Linked DNA regions of Cricetulus griseus. The protein of the gene in region 1 interacts with the protein of each later gene in a pairwise test. Links are inferred from orthologs where the notes say so. Each region holds a gene or a part of one and is shown in the gene's direction. Other genes may lie near its edges.

What was found.
Region 2: the proteins of Mfap1 (region 1) and Bicd2 interact in binary tests that used the Homo sapiens proteins (3 or more experiments, as listed by UniProt). The link is inferred for Cricetulus griseus from reciprocal best matches to the Homo sapiens genes MFAP1 and BICD2.
Region 3: the proteins of Mfap1 (region 1) and protein LDOC1-like interact in binary tests that used the Homo sapiens proteins (3 or more experiments, as listed by UniProt). The two-hybrid records come from large-scale screens. The link is inferred for Cricetulus griseus from reciprocal best matches to the Homo sapiens genes MFAP1 and LDOC1.
Region 4: the proteins of Mfap1 (region 1) and Tle5 interact in binary tests that used the Homo sapiens proteins (3 or more experiments, as listed by UniProt). The two-hybrid records come from large-scale screens. The link is inferred for Cricetulus griseus from reciprocal best matches to the Homo sapiens genes MFAP1 and TLE5.
Region 5: the proteins of Mfap1 (region 1) and Katnbl1 interact in binary tests that used the Homo sapiens proteins (3 or more experiments, as listed by UniProt). The link is inferred for Cricetulus griseus from reciprocal best matches to the Homo sapiens genes MFAP1 and KATNBL1.
Region 6: the proteins of Mfap1 (region 1) and Trim54 interact in binary tests that used the Homo sapiens proteins (3 or more experiments, as listed by UniProt). The two-hybrid records come from large-scale screens. The link is inferred for Cricetulus griseus from reciprocal best matches to the Homo sapiens genes MFAP1 and TRIM54.
Region 7: the proteins of Mfap1 (region 1) and Mad1l1 interact in binary tests that used the Homo sapiens proteins (3 or more experiments, as listed by UniProt). The two-hybrid records come from large-scale screens. The link is inferred for Cricetulus griseus from reciprocal best matches to the Homo sapiens genes MFAP1 and MAD1L1.

What each region holds. Positions count from the first base shown.
Region 1 is NC_048599.1:56,936,828-56,941,066, forward strand, and holds the start of Mfap1 (microfibrillar-associated protein 1), read left to right. Parts: upstream 1-1,439; coding exon 1,440-1,518; intron 1,519-2,818; coding exon 2,819-3,038; intron 3,039-4,239. UniProt on the Homo sapiens protein: Involved in pre-mRNA splicing as a component of the spliceosome.
Region 2 is NC_048596.1:269,172,759-269,176,258, forward strand, and holds part of Bicd2 (protein bicaudal D homolog 2), read left to right. Parts: intron 1-3,381; coding exon 3,382-3,500. UniProt on the Homo sapiens protein: Acts as an adapter protein linking the dynein motor complex to various cargos and converts dynein from a non-processive to a highly processive motor in the presence of dynactin.
Region 3 is NC_048604.1:11,336,581-11,338,722, reverse strand, and holds protein LDOC1-like, read left to right. Parts: upstream 1-1,189; coding exon 1,190-1,642; downstream 1,643-2,142. UniProt on the Homo sapiens protein: May have an important role in the development and/or progression of some cancers.
Region 4 is NC_048598.1:102,308,504-102,312,634, forward strand, and holds the start of Tle5 (TLE family member 5), read left to right. Parts: upstream 1-1,331; 5' UTR 1,332-1,508; coding exon 1,509-1,535; intron 1,536-2,986; coding exon 2,987-3,084; intron 3,085-4,131. UniProt on the Homo sapiens protein: Transcriptional corepressor. Acts as a dominant repressor towards other family members. Inhibits NF-kappa-B-regulated gene expression. May be required for the initiation and maintenance of the differentiated state.
Region 5 is NC_048599.1:65,978,194-65,982,262, reverse strand, and holds the start of Katnbl1 (KATNB1-like protein 1), read left to right. Parts: upstream 1-1,269; 5' UTR 1,270-1,420; intron 1,421-4,069.
Region 6 is NC_048600.1:13,268,719-13,272,967, reverse strand, and holds the start of Trim54 (tripartite motif-containing protein 54), read left to right. Parts: upstream 1-1,449; 5' UTR 1,450-1,866; coding exon 1,867-2,034; intron 2,035-4,249. UniProt on the Homo sapiens protein: May bind and stabilize microtubules during myotubes formation.
Region 7 is NC_048597.1:76,648,391-76,651,740, reverse strand, and holds the end of Mad1l1 (mitotic spindle assembly checkpoint protein MAD1), read left to right. Parts: intron 1-2,277; coding exon 2,278-2,436; 3' UTR 2,437-2,850; downstream 2,851-3,350. UniProt on the Homo sapiens protein: Component of the spindle-assembly checkpoint that prevents the onset of anaphase until all chromosomes are properly aligned at the metaphase plate.

The sequences.
Region 1 (4,239 bases):
CAAAGTTGTCATCAGCTATACAGGCAGTTCAAGGGAGGCCGGAGCTACGTGAACCCCTGTCTCAAAATAAGGAGAATAAAGAAAAAAAAAAGATGCATTATGTGTTGCTTGTTTCTAATAACTGATAATGCTGGTTTAAATTGCACTTGGCGGGGCTGGAGAGATGGATGGCTCAGAGGTTAAAAGCACTGACTGCTCTTCCAGAGGTCCTGAGTTCAATTCCCAACAACCACATGGTGGCTCACAACCATCCTTTATGAGATCTGGTGCCCTCTTCTGGTGTGCAGATACACATGGAAGCAGAATGTTGTATACATAATAAATAAATAAAATTTTTTAAAAATGCACCTGTTTTGAACTAAAGAAAACCTATAGATGGCCAGGGGTGACCAAAAACAAAAAAAAAACAAAAACGCGTGAGCCACCACCACCCGGTTTCATAATATAAAATTTCTGTAAGTGACACACCTGTGTGTTTAATCCTAGCAACTCAGAAATCGAGGGTGAAAAAACATACAAAAAAACAAAACACCTGCCTGGGCAACACAGCAAAACACAGTCTCAAGATTAAATAAAGAAGAATAAAGATTTCCATCTACATTTGCCTTTTTTAAGGCTTTTCTAGTGCTTAGGCTTCGTCCTTGTTTCGTTGATTGTAAGCACTCACTAATTTAAAGTTTGCCAGTTTTCAGTCTTCAACCAGCAAGAGCCCAATTGCAGAAAACAAGTGAAATAATTTGACAATTATATTAACAGCACCTTCAAGATCATCTATAATATTGAACTCCCAGAATGTTGTCTTTGTAGACCAGACTAGCTTCAATCTCTCGGAGATCCGCCTGCTTCAGCCTCCGGAGTGTGCTCCAACCAACAGATGGCCCTTAGGGATTTTTTTTTTTTTTAAAAGCAGGGTCTCATTCTGATGCCCAGACTGGCCTCCAAACGCCGCTATCCTGTTTCAGCCTACCAGATGCTAGGATTACAAACGTGACCCGCATATCCGGCTCAGACTCCACACTTCTGGGGTTTCAACAAGATGCACAAGCAGCCCCTCACTATCTGCTCCGTTTCTCCAAAACATAACAAAGGAAACCTTTAAGGGCGAGGCGAACCCTCCTGAACCTCACCAAAACCTCAAAGAAGCAACTGCCCGCCAAAAGGAGCTTCCAAATCTTCAGAGATTAAAGGCGGGAAACTTACCTACGAAGACGCGTAAAATTTCAGCCTGGCCCTTTAAGCAGCCCGCGCTCAGCGTCCCTCCGCAATCCCACAATCCTCTGCCGGCATATTTCCGGTTCCTCTAGCTCTGCCGGAAGTCGTTTCTGTCAGTCGCGCAGCAGCGTCTGGCGGCGGCGCTAGGTGGGAGGAGGTGTTGTGTTCCTTGGACTTCGTTGTTGGGATTTAATCAAATTTTGGGAGTCTCCACCGCGGCCGTCACCATGTCGGTCCCAAGCGCACTCATGAAGCAGCCGCCCATTCAGTCTACGGCTGGGGCCGTCCCAGTTCGCAATGAGAAAGGTACTGCCTCCCCTCCCCTCCCCTCCCCTCCCTCCTCCTGTCTGATCTTACCTCTTACTGATTCAGTATCCCTCAAACCTGCCTTAGATTGGCCGTTTCAGCCCCACCGACTCCGTCCCACCTGAATCCGCACCCTGTCATGTACCCTAGAGATTGAGGGATGCGGAATACACTTGCGTCTCTCTATCTGATCGACCTGCTGAGATCACCTCTCAAAGTAAAAAGTAAAGGAGGCTGGAGAGGTGGTGGCTCGGCGGTTAAGGGCACGTACTGCTTTCCCAGAGGACCCGAGTTCAGTTTCCAGCACCCACATCAGGCGACTCAACAACCACTTGTAACCCCAAAACCTCTGGCCTCTGCTGGTACCTGCACGTATCCACACACAGCATCGTTAAAAATAATAAAAAATAGAGCCACAGAGATGGCTCAGCCGTTAAAGGCTAGACTCACAACCGAAACAGTAACAAAAGTAAAAATATAAGTGAGCTGGAGATCTTTGTGTGTATGTTATATCCAAGCTATCTTTGATTTTTCCCAGGTGGTTATAAGGATTTCCACTTTTTTTTTGGGGGGGGGGGTCGAGACAAGGTTTCTCTGTATTCTTATTACATGTGTATGGATGTTCTGCTTTTGTGTGTGTATGCCAGCCACCATGTGGGTTCAGTACCCAGAGAGGCCAGAAGAGAGTATGAGATCCTCTGGAACTGGAGTATCAGACTGTTACAGACTGCGCCGTGTAGGTGCTGGAATATGAATCCAGTCCTCTGCATGAGCAGCAGGTACTCTTAGCTGCTGAGCCATCTCTTCAGCTCCAACTTGTTTGTGTTTTAGAGAACATCTGGTTCAGCATAAGGGTTAGAAAAATTGATAAAATTAGAATATTAAATTATGTTATAAAGGCTATCATAGCATCTCAGAGAGAGGAGCTGGGAACCAAGTGTTCAAACATTTGATCATGGGTCATGTTCTCATTCAAATCACCACTAAGGGTTGAGATGACAAAGCCTCAATTTGTAGGTGGGGGGCAGGGAGAGAGGGTCTGCAGTTTCATTGTTCACAGTCTTCTACTTTGTTGTCCCCGAGGTACCTCTTGATGTCTTAGTTTTGGTATTTATAAAATGCCTTCCCATGCCATAGTCTTTATAGGAACCCACTGATAGATGAATATGTACTTGGATAATAACTGCCATATCCTCTCTAGACTCTGCTCCATCAAGAACTTAGGGTTCTATCTGCAAAGGCCAAGAATTGCAGGGAATTAGGAAAGAGGTTACTGAAACAAATTATCTTTCTTGTCCAGGTGAGATTTCAATGGAAAAAGTGAAAGTAAAACGTTATGTATCTGGGAAAAGGCCAGATTATGCCCCTATGGAGTCCTCAGATGAAGAGGATGAAGAATTTCAATTCATTAAGAAAGCTAAGGAACAAGAAGCAGAGCCTGAGGAACAGGAGGAAGATTCATCCAGTGACCCCCGACTTCGGCGTTTACAGAATCGCATTAGTGAAGATGTGGAAGAGAGGTATGACAAGAGTTACATTTGTCTGAACTGAGACCTGTCATGGAGATGATAGTTGATAATATTTGTGCTTACTGTGTGCCATATATATACTATCCCAAATAAGTTACATTTGCTAATTCTTACAATCTGTAGAACATCTTACAAAATTGGTACTACTATACCTATATCACAGGTGGGGAACTAAGGCAGCAGAGGGTTAGGGAAGTGGCATGACCAAAGTTATATAGCCAAGGAGTAGCAGCTTCAGAAAACATCTCCACTAGTCGATGGTGGTGCACACCTTTGGTCCCAGCACTCGGGAGGCAGAGGCAGGTGGGTCTCTGAGTTTGAAACCAGTCTGGTCTACAAGAGCTAGTACCAGGACAGCATCCAAAGCCACAGAGAAACCCTGTCTTGGGGGAAAAGAAAATACCTCCATAGGCCTAATGACTCTAATTAGCTGATAAAGAGAAAACAGCATTGATTGGTCTGTTGCAGGGAGTCTTTTCACTATAAAAATATTTTTATAGTAAATATTTGAAAAACTGATTTTATTCATATAGGGTTTGGGTTTTTGTTTTGGTTTTTTGGTTGTGGGGGTTGGGTTTTTTTGTTTGTTTGTTTTCAAAACAGGGTTTTTCCTATATATTCCTGACCATCCTAGAACTAACTATGTAGACCAGGCTGGCATCAAACTCAAGAGATTTGCCTGCTTCTGCCTCCCAAATGCTGGAATTAAAGGTGTGCCACCACCTGGACATATAGTTGTTTCTTGTGGTATTGTAGCCCCGAATGACCTGAAACTTGGCAATGATCCTCCTGTCTCAGTCCTCTCAGCACTGACAGTACAGGTGTGAGCCACCACACCGTGCTCTTGTACTTGTTCTAAAGACTAGTAAGTAAAAATGCCAAGTAGGGCCTGGCAGTAATGGCTCACCTTTAATCCCATGCACCCGGGAGGCAGAAGCAAGTGGATCTTTTTGAGTTCAAGGCCAGCCTGGTGTACAGAGTGGGTTCCAGGACAGGTTCCAAAGCTACACAGAGAAACCCTGTCTCAAAAAAAAAAAAAAAAAGACAAGTTATGTTATGTAAACTCATGTTGGAAAAACTCCCAGTTAGACATCAGAGCAGGCAAGCTATCCTGAACTTTCCCAGTTCATAGTGTTTCAATTTGGGGAGACAGGCAGGGGGTCTCAGTATGTAAAATTGTTTGTCATGTAGG
Region 2 (3,500 bases), on another chromosome or scaffold:
ATTTTTTTAATTTATCCACCGCCCCCACCCCGTGTACACATGCCGCTGTGTCTGTCTGTCTGTGTGTGTTTATAGAAGTTAGAGGACAACTCTGTAGAACTGACTCTCCTTCCACCTTTATTTACCTGGGTCTGGGGATTGAACTTAGGTTAGTAGACTTGAATGGCAAATGCTTTTACCTGCAGAGCCTCTCTCAGCCCTTGTACTTTAAAATAATGAAAAGCTAGGATTACAGATGCACACACTACCACATCTTGTCTTTATGTAGCTTTGGGCAGTTCATACTCAGGTCCTTATTACATGGCCAGCATTGTACCTACCCACTTAGCCAAGGTCTCCCCAACCCACTTGTGGTGGTTCTTTCTCCCAAGATGGGCCCATCTCTATTGCCCAGGCTGTTCTACCTTCCTGCCTCAGCCACCTGAGTAGCTGGGATTACATGCATTCACTGTTGACTATCATGCTCAGATCTGAGGTTCTCTCTCTCTCTCTCTCTCTCTCTCTCTCTCTCTCTCTCTCTCTCTCTCTCTCTTTCTCTCGTCAGTTTTCTACTGCAAGCTGCTGGGCCTTCGACTGGCATTGTGAGGAATTGATAGACAGGCTCCTTGTAATTGACGCGCACCTCACTGTTGCTCTCATGGATTTGTTAGGCCCTGCTTTGATTGTTTTTGTTCCATTTGGGCATTCACTTTGGCTGTCTTCCAGAGTTGGTTTATCCCTCAGATGCATGGTGTGTCTGTTGTTGTCCCTGCCTTTCCTCTTCACAAGTTCTTTCTACTGGCATCCTTTATGTCTTGTGTTTGTTCTTTGCTTCTGAGTTGAGAATTTGGTTCTGGTACCTGGCCCTCAGCCTGCCTGCCCTTCTGGGCCGCTCAGAGCTGTGTGCTGTCTGCTAATCCTTTCTTCCTCAAGTCTTCACCGTAGAGCTCACCTGTTGGCAGCTGGATGTGTTTGTTTTCCTGAATGTGTTCTGAGCTTTGTTCTAGGATGTAGTGGCTTGGAAATGGATTAATCCTTTCATGGTCTGTCTTTACACTTGGCTCTGCTGTGCTAGAGCAGCGTGTAATCCAGGCTGATTCTGCCAGGCCCCAGACATGCTCTCCCCAAGCCTGTGAGTCTGGCTAGCGGGAACAGGCTTGTTTTCAGACTGTGGCAGGGATATTGTTCCTGCTCTGCCATATGGTCCTTTCCCCTGGCTTCCCCAGCCCTACACTGACCATCCTCAGTAAAGATTCACTCTGGGCCTGAGCTCTGGCTGCCCTTACGTCCCTGTCAATAGACACCTTCTTCCACAGGTCCTGCCATCAAGCTCCATCTGAAGGGGTGAAGGATGTTGCAGGATTCTCCTCATCCTGTCATTTTACTTGGCATTACAGACTTGAAAACTGATGCTTATTATTTTATCATATTTAACATTGTTTGTGTGTATGTGTGTGGACACATACCACATTCATGCCCTGCACATACCATAATACACATATGGAAGTCATAGGACAACTTGGGGAGTCAGTTCTCTCCTGCCACGTGAGTCTTGAGTTTTAGTACAAAGGTTGTCAGGCTTGACGTCACACGCTTTTACCTGCGGAGCCATCTCACCAGCCATGTTGCATCAGACTATTCCTGTGCTTTCCAGTTCTTTTCCTACACAGGAAGTGGAACCTGTCCTTGTGACTGTGTGTCTTCTCAGTTGGAGGTAGATGTCTCCATCAGTGTGTTTGAAAAGCTGTCCAGGGCTGCTCCTGTGCCCTAGGCTGGTAGCTTGGGTGGAGGAAGAGAGTTGGGGCCCAGGTTGGCAGGCCTGGGCTTGAAGATTGTATCACGCTGCTTAGCCATCACACTTTGGGGAAAAGTTCTGAGAAGTCCTTGCCCCAACTCCCAAGTTTATGGGTGTGTCCTAAGCAGCCACAGGTGCTGGACTCTTCAGTACAGTCCCAGAGCCCTGAGTTGGGGGCCAGTTTGGTGTCTGGTTCCCTTTGTGTGTCTTATGGTGGACAGGTAGCATGGGTCAAGTTCTGTGCAGGTAGCAATGTGTTACTTGATCCTTCCCTAGGATCAGGGTGAAAGCAAACAGACAGAAATCACAAATCTGAGCTGCTTTGATTTGTGTAGAATGGATGCTCTGTTAGAGGACTGAGAGCACATGGGCAAGGCCTGGCTACCTTGTGAGGGAATCCAGTCCCCTGCAGGAGTGTTACACTGTGATCCCCAAGTTGCCCTCTGATACATTCCCTGGGTCTACTGGGCTGTGCATCCTCTGGCCCCTTGGGAGGCCTTCTCACAGTGTCTGGGACACGGCCTATGCCTCAGTCTAGACCCTGCTCCATTCTGCCAGTTCCCTATCAGGATGAAAATTGCTTTCTGCATTTTCATGTGTTAGTGTTAGAAACTGCTTCAGCTCAGTAGCATCCCTGTACAATGTAGCTTTGTATGTTTTGCTTATTGTTTTCTTGGACTGAGTTCCCAGACCTATGAAGTCATAAATGAAAGAAAATAGTCCTGTTCTCTTTTAAATCTAGTGAAAACCATCATATTCTTGTTCTTTAGTAACTCTTCTCTTACTATTGTTTCTTACCATGAGCTATGACTCCTATAAAGAGTCAGGCAAGGAAGGCCAAGGAGATAGCTCAGCCTCTCAGTGGGGTATGTAATGGAGGCCAGGCTGGCCAGGGCCCAGTGTGTGACTGGCACGGTGTTGTGGGTGAGGCCAGTACTTGTTGCTCTCACTTTGTAGGTTTTCTTCCTGAGTCCTAGAGTCCCACACCTTGCTCCTCACCCCAGTGTCTGAAGCATGCAGATACATGCATCTCTGTGCCTATGTACCCTGAGATGGCTACTCTAGCTAGTTGTTACTGTGCCCTGTCCTTAGGGCTGGGGGCCCAGCCCTGGTTTGTCCCAGACCAAATGAAGGATGATTTGACATCAGGTAGCAGGATGGAGTGGCTCCTCACCCCTTGCATGTAATGGCTAGCACAATTTTGTAAGCCTGGAATGTATGTTGGGTGTGCTGCTCTAGGGTTGTTTCCCATTAGCTTGGCCAAGCTCACAGTATAGACCATTTGCTTCCTGGTCCTGGGAACTTTCCAACTGGCACACATCATCAGGCCTCAAACTTTGTCCCTTACAAAGGAAATTCCACCTATGTCTGTGACCCTATACTCTTAGTGTTCCTTCCTGTCACTCCACATGATGCTCCTAAGACTAGTTTGGTTTCACTCAATGTAATGAAACGTGAAGCGTGCCTGCTACACACATCTCAATGTGTGTTTTAACATGTGCACAGCATGGAACTGCTTCACAGGTCTATGTTCCTGTGGTCTTAGGCCTCCATTGCTTTGTGGCCCAGGGACACCCATCTCATGAAGGTCTTTTCTGTGCACACAGGCATTTGGACAAGCACACACAAACCACAAAAAGGTGGCTGCTGATGGTGAGAGCCGGGAGGAGAGCCTGATCCAGGAGTCAGCCTCCAAAGAGCAGTACTATGTGAGGAAGGTGCTGGA
Region 3 (2,142 bases), on another chromosome or scaffold:
CAGGAGGTCATGTAAAAAGGGCATGCAGAAGGAGGTCCTTGTATGTTACGACCAAGGGTTTGCTTTTTATTCAGAGCAGCAGAGAGGGAAAAACTGCTGGAGAACGTCGAAATGGGGAGTGAAAGGCTCTAACTCACATTCTAAAAGTGTTCTGAGGCTATTCTAGAGAATATGCAGAAAAGGGGAAGAATGACAGCTAAGGGATTAGATGTAGCAGACCAGACCGTGAAAGAAGGCTGGGATCGAGGTAGCAGAGATGCCCGGAAGTGACTGAATGTGGAGATGTATTTTAAAAAGCAGACCCAATAGCTATCAGCTCAAGGATCCTGGACCAAACTTAGTTATCGACAACTAATGACGTTTAAAATAGGCAGACAAAGTTATTTTACAGAGCTCATCACAGTTTATAACTTAGGAACAAAGGCACTGATAACAGGAATATGGAAAGAATCAAAGATAGAATGTTGGCAAATGGATACTCTGTGCAGATTTGGAGATCTTTTGGTGAAATTGTCTCAACTGAAGAGAAGCCCCTGTTGACAATTACTTATGTATTTAATGAAAGCACCCCTTGCAAGTCTTGAAGTCTCTAAACTCAAATGATCTCCCGCAGTATGACCCTCAGTGTCAGTGTTATTTCTCTGGGTGAAATTTAAACAAGCAAGGAAATGTGTTAAGAAAGCATTACTCTAAAAAAATGTTGATGGCTGCAGGCCCACCGAGGAACACTGTATTGGATGAACAGGTCGGCTGCAGAGAAGTTTAAGCTGAAGCAGGCCAGCCCTGAGTGCTGAGCTTCTATGCTCGCACAGCCCTCCACTGTGGCAGGCTTGGCTCCCCCAGCGTTTCTTCATCAGGCTGGGGGAATTGACAGAGGCCCGGGGCGATGCTCCCTTGGTCACGCCTTCCTCCTCCTGGGCCACGTCCACTCGGTCCGTCAGTCCCACCCTGGCCACACCCCCACGCCACCAGCACTCCCCTCCGCCACGCCTTTCTCACCGCAGTGCGCTGGCGCATTGGCTGCCAGAGTGACCTTGTGGGTGGAGCTTCCGCCACCAGCTAGACCCCCTCTGCGCAGTGCCCAGGGTCAGCACTCCTCTGAGGACACGCACTTCCTCTACGGCCTCCTTGAGCAGCTCCGCGGAGCCGATCCGAGCCCGAGAGCCCGAGACCTGCCAAGCGAGTCACCATGGTGGACGAGCTGGTGTTGCTTCTGCACGCGCTGCTGGTGCGACACCGCGACCTGTGCATCGAGAACAACCGGCTCATGAAACAGCTGCGGCTGCTGGTGTGTGAGCGGGCCATTCTGCTGCGCCAGGTACGTCCGCCCAGCTGTCCGGTGCCCTTCCCCTCACCGTTTAATGGCGAGAACGCCCGGCTCCCCGAGTTTATTGTGCAGACGATGTCCTACATGCTTGTGAATGAGGACCGCTTCTGCAACGACGCCATGAAAGTGGCATTCCTGATCAGCCTCCTCTCCGGGAAAGCCGAGGATTGGGTGGTGCCGTACATCCAGACAGATAGCGCCATTCTCTGTGATTATCGCGCGTTTGTTGAAGAGATGAAGCAGTGTTTTGGCTGGTATGACGACGAAGATGATGATGATGATGATGACGACGACTGTGAAGCGGTTGATTGCTAGGCCCCGAGCCCCCTTAGGCCTACATGAGGAGGACCCTGCACGCTGCGTCCTCCCTACCCCCACCGCTACTCCTGCTGCCTCCGTGCCCCCCTTTGCATTGCCATTCTCTTCCCTGCCAATCACTTCGCTCCTTCATCCCTTTTAGTGCTTGTCTTTGTGCCAATTACCTGCTACGAGTGCTTGAGTTGGGCCTGGGCCTGGCTCTGAGGTTCACAGTGTTCAATTTTAACCAATCCGGGCACCTTTCTAATCTGAACTGTGTTTTGAGCTCCAGCCATTGTCCAGGCCTGTGTTAGAACTCGTCAGACCACCTGCATTCCTGCCGCTGGCTTCTGATGGATCGCCATCTACATCTGCCAGAAGTGGATGCCTGTCACCTCACCCCCCCCCACCACCACCCCCCACTGCATCTCATCTGCAGCCATCCACTTTTCAAGATATGGACCAGGAAGAAGATGATGGAGTTGGCTACATCTATTCAGACTCTCATTTGGACAGTT
Region 4 (4,131 bases), on another chromosome or scaffold:
TCCAGGCCAGCCTGGGTTACATGTGACCCTATTTTCATTAAATAAGATAGTGTCAAACTCACCAGTGGGACTGTTACCAGAAGCCCTGCCATGAGCAGCGGCCTTGCCTCCTGGGGTCCAGTGTGTGAGTTCTGTCCCAGGGGCTTTGTCCTTGTCCTATGGGCCAGAGAGTCTCCATGCTCCCTCTTCCCCTCAACTGCATACCCCCCCCCCTTAGCTCCTCACTGGGGCTGGGCATCCTAGTGGACCAGGCCTATTGGGCCTATTGTTTCTGCTCTCTCTCTCTCTCTCTCTCTCTCTCTCTCTCTCTCTCTCTCTCTCTCTCGGTTTTCCGAGACAGGGTTTCTCTGTGTAGCTTTGCAGCCTATCCTGGCACTCGCTCTGGGGTGCAGGCTGGCCTCGAACTCACAGAGATCTGCCTGCCTCTGCCTCCCGAGTGCTGGAATTAAAGGCGTGTGCCATCAACGCCCCGGCACCTCTGCTCTCTGATCTTTGTGGGTCACCTGTGCATAACAGTCGACTTTTGTCAGGGTCTGTCTCAAGTATGGGACAGACAATTGCCATACAGCTCAGGCTGGCCAGAAATTGTAGGAATCCCTCTGCTTCAGCTTGCTCTGAAATGTTGGGCACTAATTAGCCCCGGGAACTATTTTCCTTTTATATATTTATGTTTTTATTTTAATTATTCTTGAGAAAGGGCTCATGCAATCCTGGCCAGGCTAGCCTCAAACTCAGAGAGATCTGCCTGCCTCTGGGCCTCCGGAGCGCTGGAATTAAAAGGTGTGCACCACCTCTGTTTCCAGTAGGTCTCTAACTTTTGTTATTTTTGAGACGGAGGCTCATGTAGCCCAGGCTGTATGGGAACTCACTGTGTAGATCAGGCTGGCTTCCACCTGTCTCAACCTACCTTGCACTGGGATTAAAGCCTTGCACCATCACTCAAGTCTTTTACTTTCTGTTGCTGTTTTGAGATTGGGTGTTTTGTAGCGCAGATTGGCCTGGAACTCTTGGTCCTCCAGCCTGTACACTTCAGTCAGTGGTGACAGGCCTGGCCCCTTCCTACCTCCGTGGGACGGGTATCACCGTGCCCCCAGCCGTGCCAAGCCTCCCCTCCCCACTCCAGAGAGGGCGAGGCACACCGTAGGCGATTCATAAATGCACCTTGGGGTCTGGGCACTCAGACTGTGGGTCTGGGGCCTGAGAGTGGAGTGGGGGATCGAGGCAGGCTTCGGGCCAGGGCTCGGGGCCGCGGCGGGGGCGGGGCGCGCGGGGCCAAGGTCACGGGTGGGGCGTCCGGCCTGCGCAGTGCCGGGCGCGGCAGGTGGAGCGGGAGCCCGGGCGGCACCGCGTCGCCATTACACAATAGCGCGGGCGGCGCGGGCGGGCGGCGGGCGGCGCAGGAGGCGGGACGCGGGGCCCCGGAGCTGCCGATCGGGGACAAAGCGCGGCCGCCCGGCGCCCCCCGAGCCGCCCGAGCCGGGGCGCAGCCCGCGCCCCCCGCGACTGACATGATGTTTCCGCAAAGCCGGCACTCGGTAAGGGGGACCCCGCGCTCTGCACCCCGGAGCTCGCCCTGCACCCCCGGTGCTCGCCCTACATCCCCAGCTCTGCTCACTGAACCCCCGGAGCTCGGATCCCGCCTGTCTCCCCGCCCAGGGCCTGCCCCAGGGGCTCCCACCGGCGCTGTCCCCGGGGTCTTTGCACCCAACCACCCAGGCCGTGCGCACCCCACCGGCCCAGCACTGCATCCTTCAGCCCGGACCCCTGAACTTTGATCCCGGCCTCGAGCCCACCCCGTGCTGCCTGCCCATCCCGACTCCGGACCAGCCTGTCTCTCAGCCCGGGGCCCCGCACCCCACTCCAGCCGCATCCGGCCTGTCTCCCAGCCCTGGGGCTCAGGCCCAGGGCTGCAGCACCCCAAGCCCAGGCCGCACGTGTCCTCCAGCCTGAGACCTTGCACCGCCACCTCTGCGCTCCCGCACCCCTCCGCACCAGCTCGCTAATGGCCCCAGACCAGCCTGCCCCCAAGTCCAAGGCCCTGCACTTCCATCCCTGCCCCCAAGTCGGCTGCCCCGCACCCCAGAATATAGGCTCCGTACCCACTGCCTCTCCCCCGAGCCCTTTCGGGCCTGGCGTCACCATCCGGGCCCAGCGCCACCCCCCAGCCCGGCCCTGTGTCCTGCAGCTGCAGGCCTCGCACCCCAGAGGCCTGCCACCTCCCAGCCCCCATCCTGCACCCTCAGTACCGCAGTGTGGGGGACCCTGCGCCTTTATAACGCCCACTGTGCCTCTGCCCCTGTCCGGAGCCCGAGGACCCCCCACGCCCGCCCTCCCCCAGCTCCAGGCGCCGACCCCCCGCACATCCCTCCCACCCCAGCTCCCGGTGGCCCGGCAGCCCCCACCCTGCTCCCAGCCTTGACCCCAGACTCTAACTGTGCTCCCCAGATCCGAAAACCTTACACCCCAACTCCTGGCCCAGTGTCCTCAGATGCCAGCCCTGTGCATCCCCTCACCCCCAGGGACACCTCTCGGCCCGCCCCTGCACCCTAACATTTACCATCTGCCTCCCTGACCCCAGGCCTGTCTTCCTCCCATGGCTTTCACTGGGGCTGGGGGGAACCCCGCGAGGCACCCCTGGGGCTGGGCAGCTTTGGGGGGAGTCCCCTGAGGAAACAGGTGTGATGGGGGTACGCCCAGGAAGTGTGGGGTGGTAGCTAGGTGCATCTTCCAAGCTGGCTTTGAAGGCAGGCCTGTGTCCTGTTTGACGTAGAGGGGCTTCCCGGGGACCCCTCAGAGGCCGCTGGAGGATGGGGTGCCTGCCCCCCAAAATGACCAACGGTAAAAGCGCCTCCTTGCCTGGGGGCCTCCCAGCCCCCTGCAGGCTTCCTAGGAGAGTGCTGCTGGGGCCTGCAGAGCTCAGCCAGGAAGTAGGGCGTGGGCGGGCAAGCAGGCCCTCACCCTCCCGCACCCTCACCCGCACCCGCAGGGCTCCTCCCACCTCCCCCAGCAGCTCAAGTTCACCACCTCCGACTCCTGCGACCGGATCAAAGATGAATTCCAGCTGCTGCAAGCCCAGTACCACAGGTGAGCCCGCGCCAGGAAGGCCGCACCCCCAGAATGTAGGGGTTATCTGTGGTCTGGAGAAAGGCTGGGAGGGGGTGGAGGCTTGAGGGTCAGCAGTTCAAGGTCATCTTCAACTACTTAGCAAGTTAGAGGCCAGCCTGGGATACATACCACCCTGAGTCCAAAACCAAACCAGCAGCCCCGTAGTGTGGAGGGGGAAACCGAGGCACACAGTGTGTGTTGCTTCAGAAGCCGGGTCCCCAGAGAGCGTGATGCTCTCATTTTAACACAGGCTGCAGTGGGTGTCCAGAGAGGGTTATTAATCAGCCAAGGTCCACACAGCCCCTCCTTCTCTTTCTGTCCACTTATGGAGTGGGGGAGCTTGCTGGTGTCCCACAGACCATCCAACTGACGGGCTCCCACAAACTGTTTTCCTGTTTCTCATGTGTGAAACTAATCACTCTGAAGCCCAGAGAGCTCAGCCATTTCCGAGGGCTGCACAGCACAGAAGCAGCCTGAAGTAGGGGACTGGGGAAAGCGTGGCCTGGGGTCCCCATTTGACCCTGTACTCCCAACAGTGAGTGAGCATGGGGGTGCGGCCCAACACTCAGTTCTCAGACACACAGGAGGAGGATGGAGGCGTTTTGGGCTAGCCTGAGGTACAGAGCAAACCTATGTCTCAGAAAACAAATAGTAATAATAGTAATAGTCTTTGAAAGATACTCAGAGTTCTCCAAGAAAAAGGAAATCTTGGGTTTGTGATTTTTTTTTAATTTATTATTTTTACTTTTTGGTATTTATTTTGAGACAGGGTCTCATGTAGTCCAGGCTTCCTCCAGCTCCCTTTGTAGCCAAGGATGACCTTGAGCTGCTAACAGTAGATGACAGTCAAGAAGGGGCCCAGTGGAGCTTCATGTGCTAGGTCAGTGGAAGCTACCTACCAGGCCACAGCCCCAGCATTTGTCATTTTAGAGAGGGCACAGGTGTGCCCCCCCCCATGGTCTCCCACTCGGGTCCGTGGCCCCGCCCTCCTCAGGGATGCCTTCTCTGAGCCCGGGCCTGAGTTCC
Region 5 (4,069 bases), about 9.0 Mb from region 1:
ATGATGAAGAAATACCTTGAGAGAAAGTGACTTCATGTGTGTTAACTTTTTATTTTAAAACACCACCACCTACCTAGTAGAAGCCATGCTCACAAATACTCTGTCTTGCCCCAGTTCCTTTCACACACTCAGCCAGCGGGAGCTAACAGGTGTGGCCACACATGTGCCTGCTTGTGCTTGGCATCATCTGAGAAAGTCTCAAAGACGTTGCTCACACAGTGTTCTAAAAATATTTTCCCATTGTCATAAATGGTTGCTTCAAATTTTTATTATTACTTATTTTGGGGGGTTAAGTGAGCGCCCCGTTACTACAGAAGGAAAATACATTACATTACAATCACTTAATGGCCCCTTAGCTCCAATTAGTGCTCTGTATGCCCACAGTATTTAGGATATACCTTTCATAACTTCACTCAGTGTGATGTATCGGGACTATCACTCTGACTTCTGCACAGGGGAAGACCACCGTACAAGACAATCTTACTATCTCAGGTTTTTTAACCCTGACCAGTGGCTTACCCTGACTAGACTCTTATCAAGAGAATTGTTCTCAGTAATTAAAAATGTGCCGGGGACAGAACCAATCCTAATCTCATAGTCAAACATTCCTGCCCTGATGAAACTAAACTTGCTTCCCAAGAAGAGGGCCTTTAATATGCACATTTCCTGTCTTAAGTTTCTTGCAGCAGTCTGTGAGTTTTGGAGGCTTGGAGTTGCAAGGTATTTTTTAAATAATAAAGTTTCTAAAAACTGTTAAAGAGATTCTCGAAGTTTGGCACATAACAGGAAACAAAACAAGATAGTCAGGAATTACGTAGAGCTTACCAGGAGCCAGGTACTCTCGGAATAATTTTGTTTGTATCAACCCATTTGCTATCCACAGCAACCTTAAGAGGCAGATACATTGTTATCATTCTGGTTTTACAGACGAGGAAATCAAAAGCACACACACTAAGTTCCTGTGATTTGTTTAAAGTCTCACAGTTCCAGAGTCTACGCTTTTTAACCACTATATCCTGGTCGTTTCAATGAGAATAAATGTTCATCTCTCCTTGAGGCCCGGGTGTAGTCCCTTACTAGAGTATCCCTAGCCCCCAGGGTCTTTCTTTCCTGGGTGCCTCTGTTCTAGTAGCCTTCTTAACCCCGCCATAGCAAAGCGTCCGTGAGCCCCTATGGCCACTAGGGGGCGCCGCGGCCACGCGCCCTGTCCCCCCCTCCCGCAGGCACCCGAGGGGGCGGAGCTTGCGCTGGGCGGGGCCCGCGGACGCCCACGGCTAGCTATCCCGGCGGGCCGCGCGCGGCGGTGTTTGAATGGCTGTGAGTGGGGCCCGGCTGGGGATCCCGGGGACGCTCCGAGCTGCCGGGCGCGGTTCGTCAGCACAGTGGCTGGGCTGAGGCGCTGCGCTACCATGAGGCGCCGGTAAGTGACGGCCGCACCGGGTTGGGATCTCCGCTGCTGCTCGCTCGTGCGCAGGCTTCTCGAGCGGCTGGCCGGGCCCACCTGCAGGCCCCGCGGCGGCGGCCTTTCCCGGGCAAGGCGGCGGGGTCGGGGCGGGGCGCGGACGGGTGGGGCCGCCGGTCTCCCGCGGACCCCCCGGGCGGGCCACGGCTGGGAGCTGGGAGCTGCAGGCCTCGGGGGTCCTGGCGGGAGAGGCGTGGACCAAACCTGCTGTCATTTCTTGGTCCTCGGGTGGAGTCGACGTCTACACCCCACAGGGAAGGACGGGGCGCGTGAGAGGATCGCTGTGCGAGGAGGACAGGTTTTCGCGAGAGCCGTCTAGGCCCGGCTGAGGCATTTCCTTATTTTCGGAGGAATTTTTGATTCCCAGACAGATCGGAATTTGTTTCTCAGGACAGAAATTTGACATAGCTGCGTAAGAATTGTTGACTGCAACTTTTAAAACTCCTCGTGCTTTCTGAAAAGTTACTCTGTAATTGTACCCAGGCGCTTAACTGGGTTTACGTACGGAGATAACAAAGAGTTGATTTGTTTTCTGGTGGCTTATAAAGTGCCTTGAAAACATCTGTATCAGTTTCTTTGCAGATACGGAGGAAAAAAGTAATTGGGAGAGGAATTAGTTCGGTAATTGTCACCAATTTCGTGCTTTAAAGCATTCTGAGACACGAGTCCTTCTAATACCTGCAACTTGTGTAAAATCATTCAAGATTATTCTTCTTTCTTTTAAATCAGCTTCTTCGAGTCAGAAGTTTATGCACGGAGGCTTTTACCTGGTCAGTAATAAACTATGATGAGCAATATTTATTTTGTTTTCTGTGTGCTGAGTTGTTTTAAGAGCGTGCTTTGGAATAGGTAGTGTTATTATCATCGTTTGCCTCCTCAGCCTCTTTCTTACTAATATACAAAGTGTTGTCTTTTTATTTACTTCAGCTTCGGAGATTCTTAAGTGAGTATACATTTGTGTACACACGAATCAATCTTCACACCAGTGACAGTATCTGCTCATATTGGCCACACTTAAGTTTTATGCCCGAGCCCCTTCCCCAAAATTGTTTTTAAGATAAATGGACGTCATAAAGTTTGTAGGTTCATTTTTTAGAGATTGTGGAGAACAGCTGGAAACATTTTTTTTAAAACTATGGTACACTATTTTGTATTTGAAATGAATGTACTTAATAACTCCATGAAAAGAAATGCAATCCCAAAGCAAACCACTTCATGAGTAGTCAACAGTTCACTATTATTTATACCCAAACCTTTAAAACCACCTTCATCGGTTACCAAGGTTTTGATTGCCTCACTGTCCAGCACAGTACTGAGTCTAGTCAGCTATATGCAAGACATGTACCAGGTAACAAATATGAAGTTAATTTGGTGTGAAATTAGTAGCAAAAACATATGTGATACTCTTCTCTGTTGGTGCAGTGGGTATCTGAGTGATAATCTGAACTCAGTAAGTACTGTAGAGCTAACAGTTGAAAAGCTTATATAAGACAGTTAGTAGAAGGAGAGGTAGGGTATTTTATCGAGGAAATTGTTCGAAGACTGGGAATCCAGAAAAAAAAAATGACTTATTGGGAACATTTAGCCTGGTCTTTTGGAAGTTCATGTTGGTTAATATTATATGAAGCAAGACTGGGGAATGTTGTAAATGAGACATGTCCATGAGCTCTCTCTCTCTCTCTCTCTCTCTCTCTCTCTCTCTCTCTCTCTCTCTCTCTCTCTCTCTCTCTCTCTCACACACACACACACACACACACACACACACACACGGATTTGGGAATTTATAAACTTTTATGTCAGTGGATCTCAACTGAGTGCATTTTTCCCCCTCCATAGGACATTTGGGGATGTGAGACTCTTGTGATACTGTCAATCTGTTGACCACAGACTCTGGAGTACTTATTAAACATCCTACAATCAGATCTCCATAAGAAACAATTACTCCAAATGTCAGTGTAGGATGCAAGTCTGATAACCTGAGTTTGATCCTGGAACCCACAATAAAAAAAACAAAACCCCACAGGCCCCCAAAAGGTAGGTAAGGAGTCACAAGGCTCTAATCCCTACCATAAGATGGGAGGCAGAGGAAAGATGGGAGACAGAATCACAGGAACCTGAGGGCCACCTAATCTGTAGTAATATTACGGCATGGTAAAAAAAACGAGAGACCCTTCCTCAACAAGGTAGAAGGAGAAAAGCAATTTTCTAATGTTACCCTTTGACCTTTGTTCATAGTCTAGCATGTGCACGCACACACAAATATTTTATGAATAATTTTAAATCAATTTTTAATGTTTAAATAAATCAGTTATAAACACTTGCCCCTCAATAAAACCACTGTTAATATTTTTTTGTTTGTTTTCTTTAGACAGGTTTTCTGTGTATAGTCCTGGCTGTCAGCCTGTAACTAGCTCAGTAAACCAGGCTGGCCTTGAATTAAAAAGATCCACCTGCCTCTGCCTCTCGAGTGCTGGGATTAATCTTGGTTGGTCATGAAGCAGAGAGTTTAAAGGGCTAATTTTGAGTTTTTGTGTCTTAAAACCTAACTTTTTTGGATTTTTGAGGCAGGGTTTCTCTGTAATGGCTCTGGTTATCCTGGAACTCTGT
Region 6 (4,249 bases), on another chromosome or scaffold:
GAATGTCAATAATAAAAAAGCCTTGTCCAATTCCACTGTGTCCAAGTTGTGTGGGGGATAGAGAAAAAGATCAATGATTATTGCTCAGGCCTGGGATGAGGCTGCCATGGTCGGTAGAGTTGATCACAATGGAGCCAGGGGTCAAAGATGCCCAGTGGTGGTGCCTCTGTCAGTGTCCTGAGACTGCTCTGCAGACTGGTTCACTGGTGTTCCAGACAACTGCAGCATTCGGAATGTTTCCAGCCACATCTGTTCTCACACTTTTCCTTTTTTATATGTGTGTGTGTGTGTGTGTGTGTGTGTGTGTGTGTGTGTGTGTGTGTGTGTCTGCATGTGTGTGTCTGTGTAAATGGGTCTGCACATCTGTCTGTGCATGCCTGTGGAAGCCAGAAGAGGGCGCTGAGTCACTCGGAGTTGTGGTAAAGGGTGGTTGTGAGTGTTGGGGATCTGAACTCCACTCCTCATGAGACTGTCTTAACCATTGAGACATCTCCAGTCCACTACTGTCTCAGATTCTAAGCAAATTTAGCGTCCCTGAAATGGCTTCAGTGGTAGACCAGAATCACACACTCTCATGCCCTGATCATAAGGCAGGCCTGGGCTGGCACAGCAGCCATCTCTTGCCTCTTCAGCTGCTCTCCTAGGATGATATAACTGGCCATCCAAGGGCGATGTAGTTCAGTAAGCACAGTGCTTCTCTAGTACACAAAAGACCCCGAGTTGACGCCCAGAACCTCGTAAACTGGGAATAATGGTGTTCTCCCCTAATCCTAGCACTTTGGATGTAGAGTCAAGAGGATCAGGAGTTCAAGGTCATCCTTGATGACAGTGAATTCAAGGTTAACCTAATCTACTGAGAGCCTGTCTTTAATAAGGGAGAGGGAAGTTTGTGGCTAGATTGCTCAATAGGTAAAGGCATTGGTCACCAATTCTGATGACCTCAGTTTGATTTCTGTAACCCCCACACTGAAGAAAAAGAAGTGACTCCTGTCAGTGACCTGTGACCTCCACATATGCTCCATGTCATACCTACCCCTCCCTAAAGTAAATAAATGTAGTTGTTTTTTTAAGGCTGAACAAGAACAAATATGGACCAGACATATGGGACAAGAAGTTCTCTTTTGTAGGGTCTGGAGTTCCACTTCTGAATCCTGAGTCTCCAGGAGGAGGGTCAGGATCAATGCTCAGTATAAAAGGGAGAGACAGAAGTCTGTAGATCCGTCCAGACCATCCTTCCCACCCTGAGCCATGTGTGCTGTCTCTCCCATGTGCTAGTTTCTGTTAGGAAGAAGGTCTCAAGCCAGAACACGGAGAGCAGAGGTTGCAGGAACCTTCCCAGTGACAAGTGAGCCCCACACTGACCCACCACCCACTGAAAGCAGTGACACCCCTGCTGCTCTTCTTGCTCAAGAAAGCCACCAGCTGAGTGAGTCAGGGTCACTCAGTCCGGGACAGCTGTGGCTCGCCTTACATGAGCTAAATTGGGAACTGGAATGTCACACAAATGCCCCTTGTCTCCCTACCCCCACAGTAATATTAACCTCTCTAGCGAGCAAGGGACAAAGAGTACTGCCTGTAGAGTGAGCACGAGGGTGGTTTGGGGGAGCAAGAGAATTTCTCAGGGGGAGCTAAAGGGACAAGTTTGTGGAGACGGCTCTGAACAGGGAGTGCAGACAGAAGCGTCTGGAAATAGCCAGGGTGAGAGGGGCCGTTAGAGGGAGAGAAACAGGAAACATCACCCTTTCAAGAGGGAGCAAGATCAGGGATCCTAAGAATCCACAGACAGCCTAAAGTTTACAAGAAGTGTGCACAGGCAGCGAGAGAAGGCCAGAAACAGGGCCAAGGCAGGCACTAGAGCGCCAAGGGATGAACTTCACCGTGGGTTTCAAGCCGCTGCTAGGGGATGCACACAACATGGACAACCTGGAGAAGCAGCTCATCTGCCCCATCTGCCTGGAGATGTTCTCCAAGCCCGTGGTGATCCTGCCCTGCCAGCACAACCTGTGCCGCAAGTGTGCCAATGACGTCTTCCAGGTGGGCTTGGGGACAGCTGGGTCAGGTCTAGGAAGGGACTGGGTGGCAGGTCCCACAGGCGGGAGATGGTGACGCTGCCCCAACTCAGTGGCAGGAGAGTTGGAGGCTGTGGGATCCCAGAGGAAGCACGAGTCAGCAGTTGCCCAGAGCCTGGCAAGCACAGCCTGTGTGCACAGCGTCAGAAGGAGGACCCCAGGGAGACTGGCAGAAACTGGCAAGGAGGGTGGTCTTGCCTGGACTTTGTGGGAGCCTTACTAGATTTCATTTACTTTGAGGCTTTGTGGTTTTATTTATTTACTTTCTTTACACACCATAGATGAGATCAATGAAATATGAGGTATTAAAAAAATAATAGAGCCAGCAAGACAGTGAAGACACTTGCTACCAAAGCTGACAACCTGAACTTGATCCCCAAAACATAAAATTAAACCCTAGAATTAAAAATTTGTGACAAACCAGTGAGAAAGCCTATGATGCCAGCCGAGCTGTGTATATTTGAGATAGAGCTCCTCTCTCCATGAGGGAGCTGCTTAGACACAGTGGGCCAGGGAAGCAGAAGTTTTCCCCAGTTTCACACCTGTGAGCCCTCCTGACCTGGTGAAGAGGCCCATGGACCAACTGATACTCAGGTGATTTATGGACAGAGAGAAGGCAGAAGCAGAATTGTACTTCCCAGAAATGCCTGTGTAGCTGTGGTCATGAGGCCGGGCATAGCTAAGTTAAGTCACTGATATCATTCTGTCCACACATTTCAAAAATAAAAACAAAAAAGCTGGGCATGGTGATGCATGGCTGCAATCCCAGCCCTTGGGAGGTGGCAGCCGGAGAATGAGTTTAAGGCCAGCTTGGGCTATGTGAGACCCTGTCTAACCAACTAAATAAATGCATACATCATAATTCTTTATAAATTCATAGGCTTGCTTTCCTACCCTGTATCATTCATAGAGGTTCCAGTAGGCTGTAAACTAGATCAGAGGTCAGGGAGAGCGAAGGGACAGGACTCACGTGTACAGACATGAGACCTTGCAGATGAAGTAAAAACTGCAAGATCCGGGTGGCTTGGTGCAAATCTGTGACAGAAGCATCAGGAATAAGATTCCAGCCAGGAGCCAGGCTGTGTGACACATGCCTGTGGTTGAAACACCTAAGAGGACCACCACAACTAGAGACTAGCCTGTTATACATAACTCCCACAAACTAGAGGCTAGCCTGGTGTATGTAACCACCACAAACTAGAGACTAGTCTGGTCTATGTAACCCCCACAAACTAGTGGCTAGCCTGGTCTACATAACCACCACAAATAGAAGGTAGCTTGGTCTATGTAACCACCACAAACTAGAGGCTAGCCTGGTCTATGGAACAATTATACCAGTATATCCACTGGCTATGTATAGTAAGACCAAGTCTCAAAAATTAAATAAAAAAGTGGTAGGGCTGGAGAGATGGCTCAGTGGTTAAGAACTCTTGTTGCTCTCCCAAACAACTCAGTTTCCGTTCCCAGCATCCACATGATAGCTTACAACTGTCTAACTCCAGTTCCAGGGGACCTGATGCTCCCTTCTGAACCCTCCCCTCATGGGCATTATGCATGCAGGCAAAATACATACACATAAAATAAATCTCAAAAAGATTATTCCTGCTTTTCACAGACTATGAGGGAATGAGTTGAGCAGACATTTTCACACCTTTTTCCCTCCTCTCTTTGGTGCTATGGTTAATCCAGGGCATTGTGTGTGTTAAACATGCATTCTACCATTGCTCTACACCACAAGCCCCAACACAAGCTATTTTTTTAAAGATTTATTATGTATACACACACCAGAAGAGGGAACCAGATTTCATTATAGATGGCTGTGAGCCACCATGTGGTTGCTGGGAATTGAACTCAGGACCTCTGGAAGAGCAGCCAGTACTCCTAACCTCTGAGCCATCTCTCCAGCCCCAGCACAAGCTATTTTTAAAAAAATATTTCTTATTAGTGTGTGTGTGTATGTGTGTGTGTGTGTGCGCACAGAAGCCAGAAAAGGGTGTCAGATCCCCTGGAGCTGGAGCTGCAGTGTTTGTGATGTGGCAGCTGGGAACCAAACTCTGATGCTCTGAAAGAGCAGCATGTGTTCCAAATGGCCAGGCTGTCTCTCCAGTCTTGACACAAGTGGGTCTTAACTTCACTGAGAACATAGCCTTTTAGGTTCCTTGGCATAGCAGGCTTTCTTG
Region 7 (3,350 bases), on another chromosome or scaffold:
AGGGCTGGGGAGTGTGGCTTGGTGGTAGGGTACTTGCCTCTAACTCGTATGAGGCCCTAGGTTCCACCCCTAATACCACACTTAAACACACACACACACACACACACACACACACACACACACACACACCCCTACACCTGGGGGGGGGTGCAGAAGAGGCATGACATCTCCTGCTGAGGAGACCCATACCATGGGGGACAGGAAAGAACCCTGGAGGCTCTCCTGGCACCCTGCTCCTACCCCCACAGCTCCGCCTGCTCCTTCCCCAACAGCCGCCTCAGAGTCAGCCCCTCTGACATTTCGGGAAAAACATTGCGAGTCGAGAGCAGAAGGGAGAAATGAAAGGATTTTCTCGAGAAAAGGTCAGAGTGGTTTCTCTTATTTTTGTTTAAAGATGGTTTGTGTTGAACTATGACAAGGCCAAATGTAATAAGGGCCAAGGGAACAGGCTGGGGGTCGACCCACGTGAGAAAACAGGAGGAAAACCCAGGTAACAAGCAAGTCAGAAGACAGCTCAGGGAGTCATTGAGACAAAACCTCACATGCCCTGATGCCCCACGAGGGATGGAGGTGGAGGGGTTGGGGGCACAGGCTGCTCCCCAGGTCCTCTCTTGCTCATGCTAGGGAGTCAGTGGTAGTCATGGGCTGCCAGGACCCATGGGAGCAGACTGACCATCTGTATGGCTCCCAGGAACAGAGGCACCTGCAGAGCCACTGGCAGGAAGGGACCTTTCAGAACAAATTCATCCCTGCCTTGGCTTCACGGTGGCCATGCATTTGGGTTCTCATTAGCACATCCATTGTGCATTCATTGGCACAGGCTAATCCACAGAGAAACACTATCACTGGAGCAGGCACTCCCTTCCCCTCTCATCCTGGTCCACACCAATCTGCCTCCTACCTCTACATATTGTCTTGTATGGATGCCTCATGTCAATGGCATCACTATGTTCAAAGTTGACCCTGAGCTATCATGCATCATGTCTTGTCCCCTTGTTCCTTTTCAGGGCTAAAGAGTGTGTGTGTGTGTGTGTGTGTGTGTGTGTGTGTGTGTGTGTGTGTGTGTGTGTGTACATATGAATCATATCACTGTGGACATCCCATGTACATCTTACTGTGGATACATGTATTTACATGTTCTGAGGGCACAATGGAGGGGTACCAATGGGTCATAACGGAGGAATTGCCAGGCTTTTCCATAATACCTGAGCTTCCTGCAATGATGCCCAGGTCTTCTGATTTCTCCTCCTCCTCATCCACCTTTCCTAATGGGCTCTGGCCTGACTGACATCTGCCCTGATGACCCCATAAGCCCACCAACTTTATCAGACCCTCCTGCTTCTTCTTTGGAGAACCATCCAGTCTGACCTATACCCGCCTCCCAGCCGGGTCCTGTTTCTGTGGCTGAGTGAGGAGGGGCTCTAGGTTTGCTAGATACCAGTTCTACATCAGACCTAAGGTTTGGGAGCAATCCAGAGTGGGTTTGTGACCACTTCTTGCCTGGCCTTGTAAACAGGAATTTTTCTTCCCTAGTCAAGCAGGCCTTCTACATCTTTGGCCACTGCAGCATTCCTGGGCCAGTTGGCAGGGGAGGCCCCAGGATAAGTGATAGCAGGGAAATTCAGGATTACAAGGAGGTTCACTCAGGGCCTCTGTCTGCTTCTCCCAGCCTAGCCTACATGGTAAGAGGGCAGCCTGGCCAAACAGCCAAGTAACCTGGGCATGCCCCGGGAGGCCAAGCTGTGTACCATTGCAGCTCTGAGCCTACCTGCAAGCTCCACTCCCACCTCCCCATCACAGCCATCACAGAGTCACTATGCCCTCCCTTCAGTTATAAGTGACATAAGAAAACAGGGAAAGAACCAGTCTGGGCTCCAGAGTCTACCCTTCCAGGACCAAACCTCCATCAGCCAATACCCAGCATCCTGGCTTCACAGTCTGGAAGATGCTTGGGGCTTACTCTGCCTCCCCAAGTCAAGCATGTGACAGCTGAAGAGCTGGTGACTGGAATTGAAGCCCCCAAGAATCCAAATCCTATTGAGGCAAGACTGCCTGCCTGCTGTGAATCTCAGCTCCCTCTGCGGATGACCTCGTGCTTTGCCTCAATGGGCATCGGGCAGAAGCAGGCCAGTGCCCGTCTAGCCCAGGCTGCTCTTGCGATGGCAGGAGTACAGCCTTCCTGGGCCCTCACCCCCTCCACTGGGAGCATGTGAGGACAAAGGGCAGACACCTGCCCAACAATCAGCACTGATGCCCCTCTCTTTTCTCCTCCTGCAGGCCACAGGACCCTCAGGCTCCAAGATGCAGCTGTTGGAGACGGAGTTCTCCCGTTCAGTGCCTGAGCTCATTGAGCTGCACTTGCTGCAGCAAGATAGCATTCCTGCCTTCCTCAGCGCCCTCACCATCGAGCTGTTCAGCCGCCAGACCTCCATCTAGCCTCCATCTGCCCGCAGGCATCCTCACTCTACAGCCACTGGACCTCTGCCTAGCCTATACCCCACATTGTCCCCAGACCCCTTTGCCACCTATAGCTGCATCGTGCCACAAACACTAGCCAGAGCCTCTGCTCAAGCAGCCACTCTGTCTCTCCGTCTCTAGTCCCTAGCTAGCAGGAGCAGCTGCTAGGGACGACCAAGCCAGATCACAGTCTACTACTCTCCTCTCTTGTCCCAAACACTGGGCCTCTCCTCTTCCTCCTGTTTTAGAGCCCCTCCCTGCACTGTCCCAAGGTGGCCCCACACCAGCCTCCAGTCCCATATGCTGGTTGCTTGAGGCCACTTTGGTGGCCAGGCTGTGGCCTGAGACTGCAGTCTCAGCCTAATGAAATAAAGTGTTATCTTTATCGTTTTCCCCGTCTGTTTCCAAGGCACCAAGCTACCTCACTGCCCAGACTCCACCACACTGCCTGCCATGCCTGGACACCTGGGCAGGCCTCACCACACCACCTGCCATGTTCCACTGGACACCTGGGCAGGTCTCTCCGCACAGCCTGCCATGCTTGGACAACTAGGTGTGGACTAAGAGGTGGATGGGGTCAGGGAAGCAATTGTGTCCCATCCCACCAGAGCCTGGGTATCAACTCCCTGCCTTGGTTACTCCACCTGCCTCTCCCCTGCCTGAGGTCTCTAGGTCCAGAGGCTAATTATAGCAGCATCTTGCCTATGAACAGTAGTCACTCCCTTTGGGCATGGTTCCAGGTGTGTATGTGACCCATTTAAGGTAGAGGATGGAAGCCCCTTTTGGGGCTTCAGAGAGGCAGGGTCTGCCTCCTTCGAGCAGAGATACCGCCATGATCATCCCGGTGCGCTGCTTACAGATGGGAAGCCCACCTGGGACTGCTGCAGGCCGGG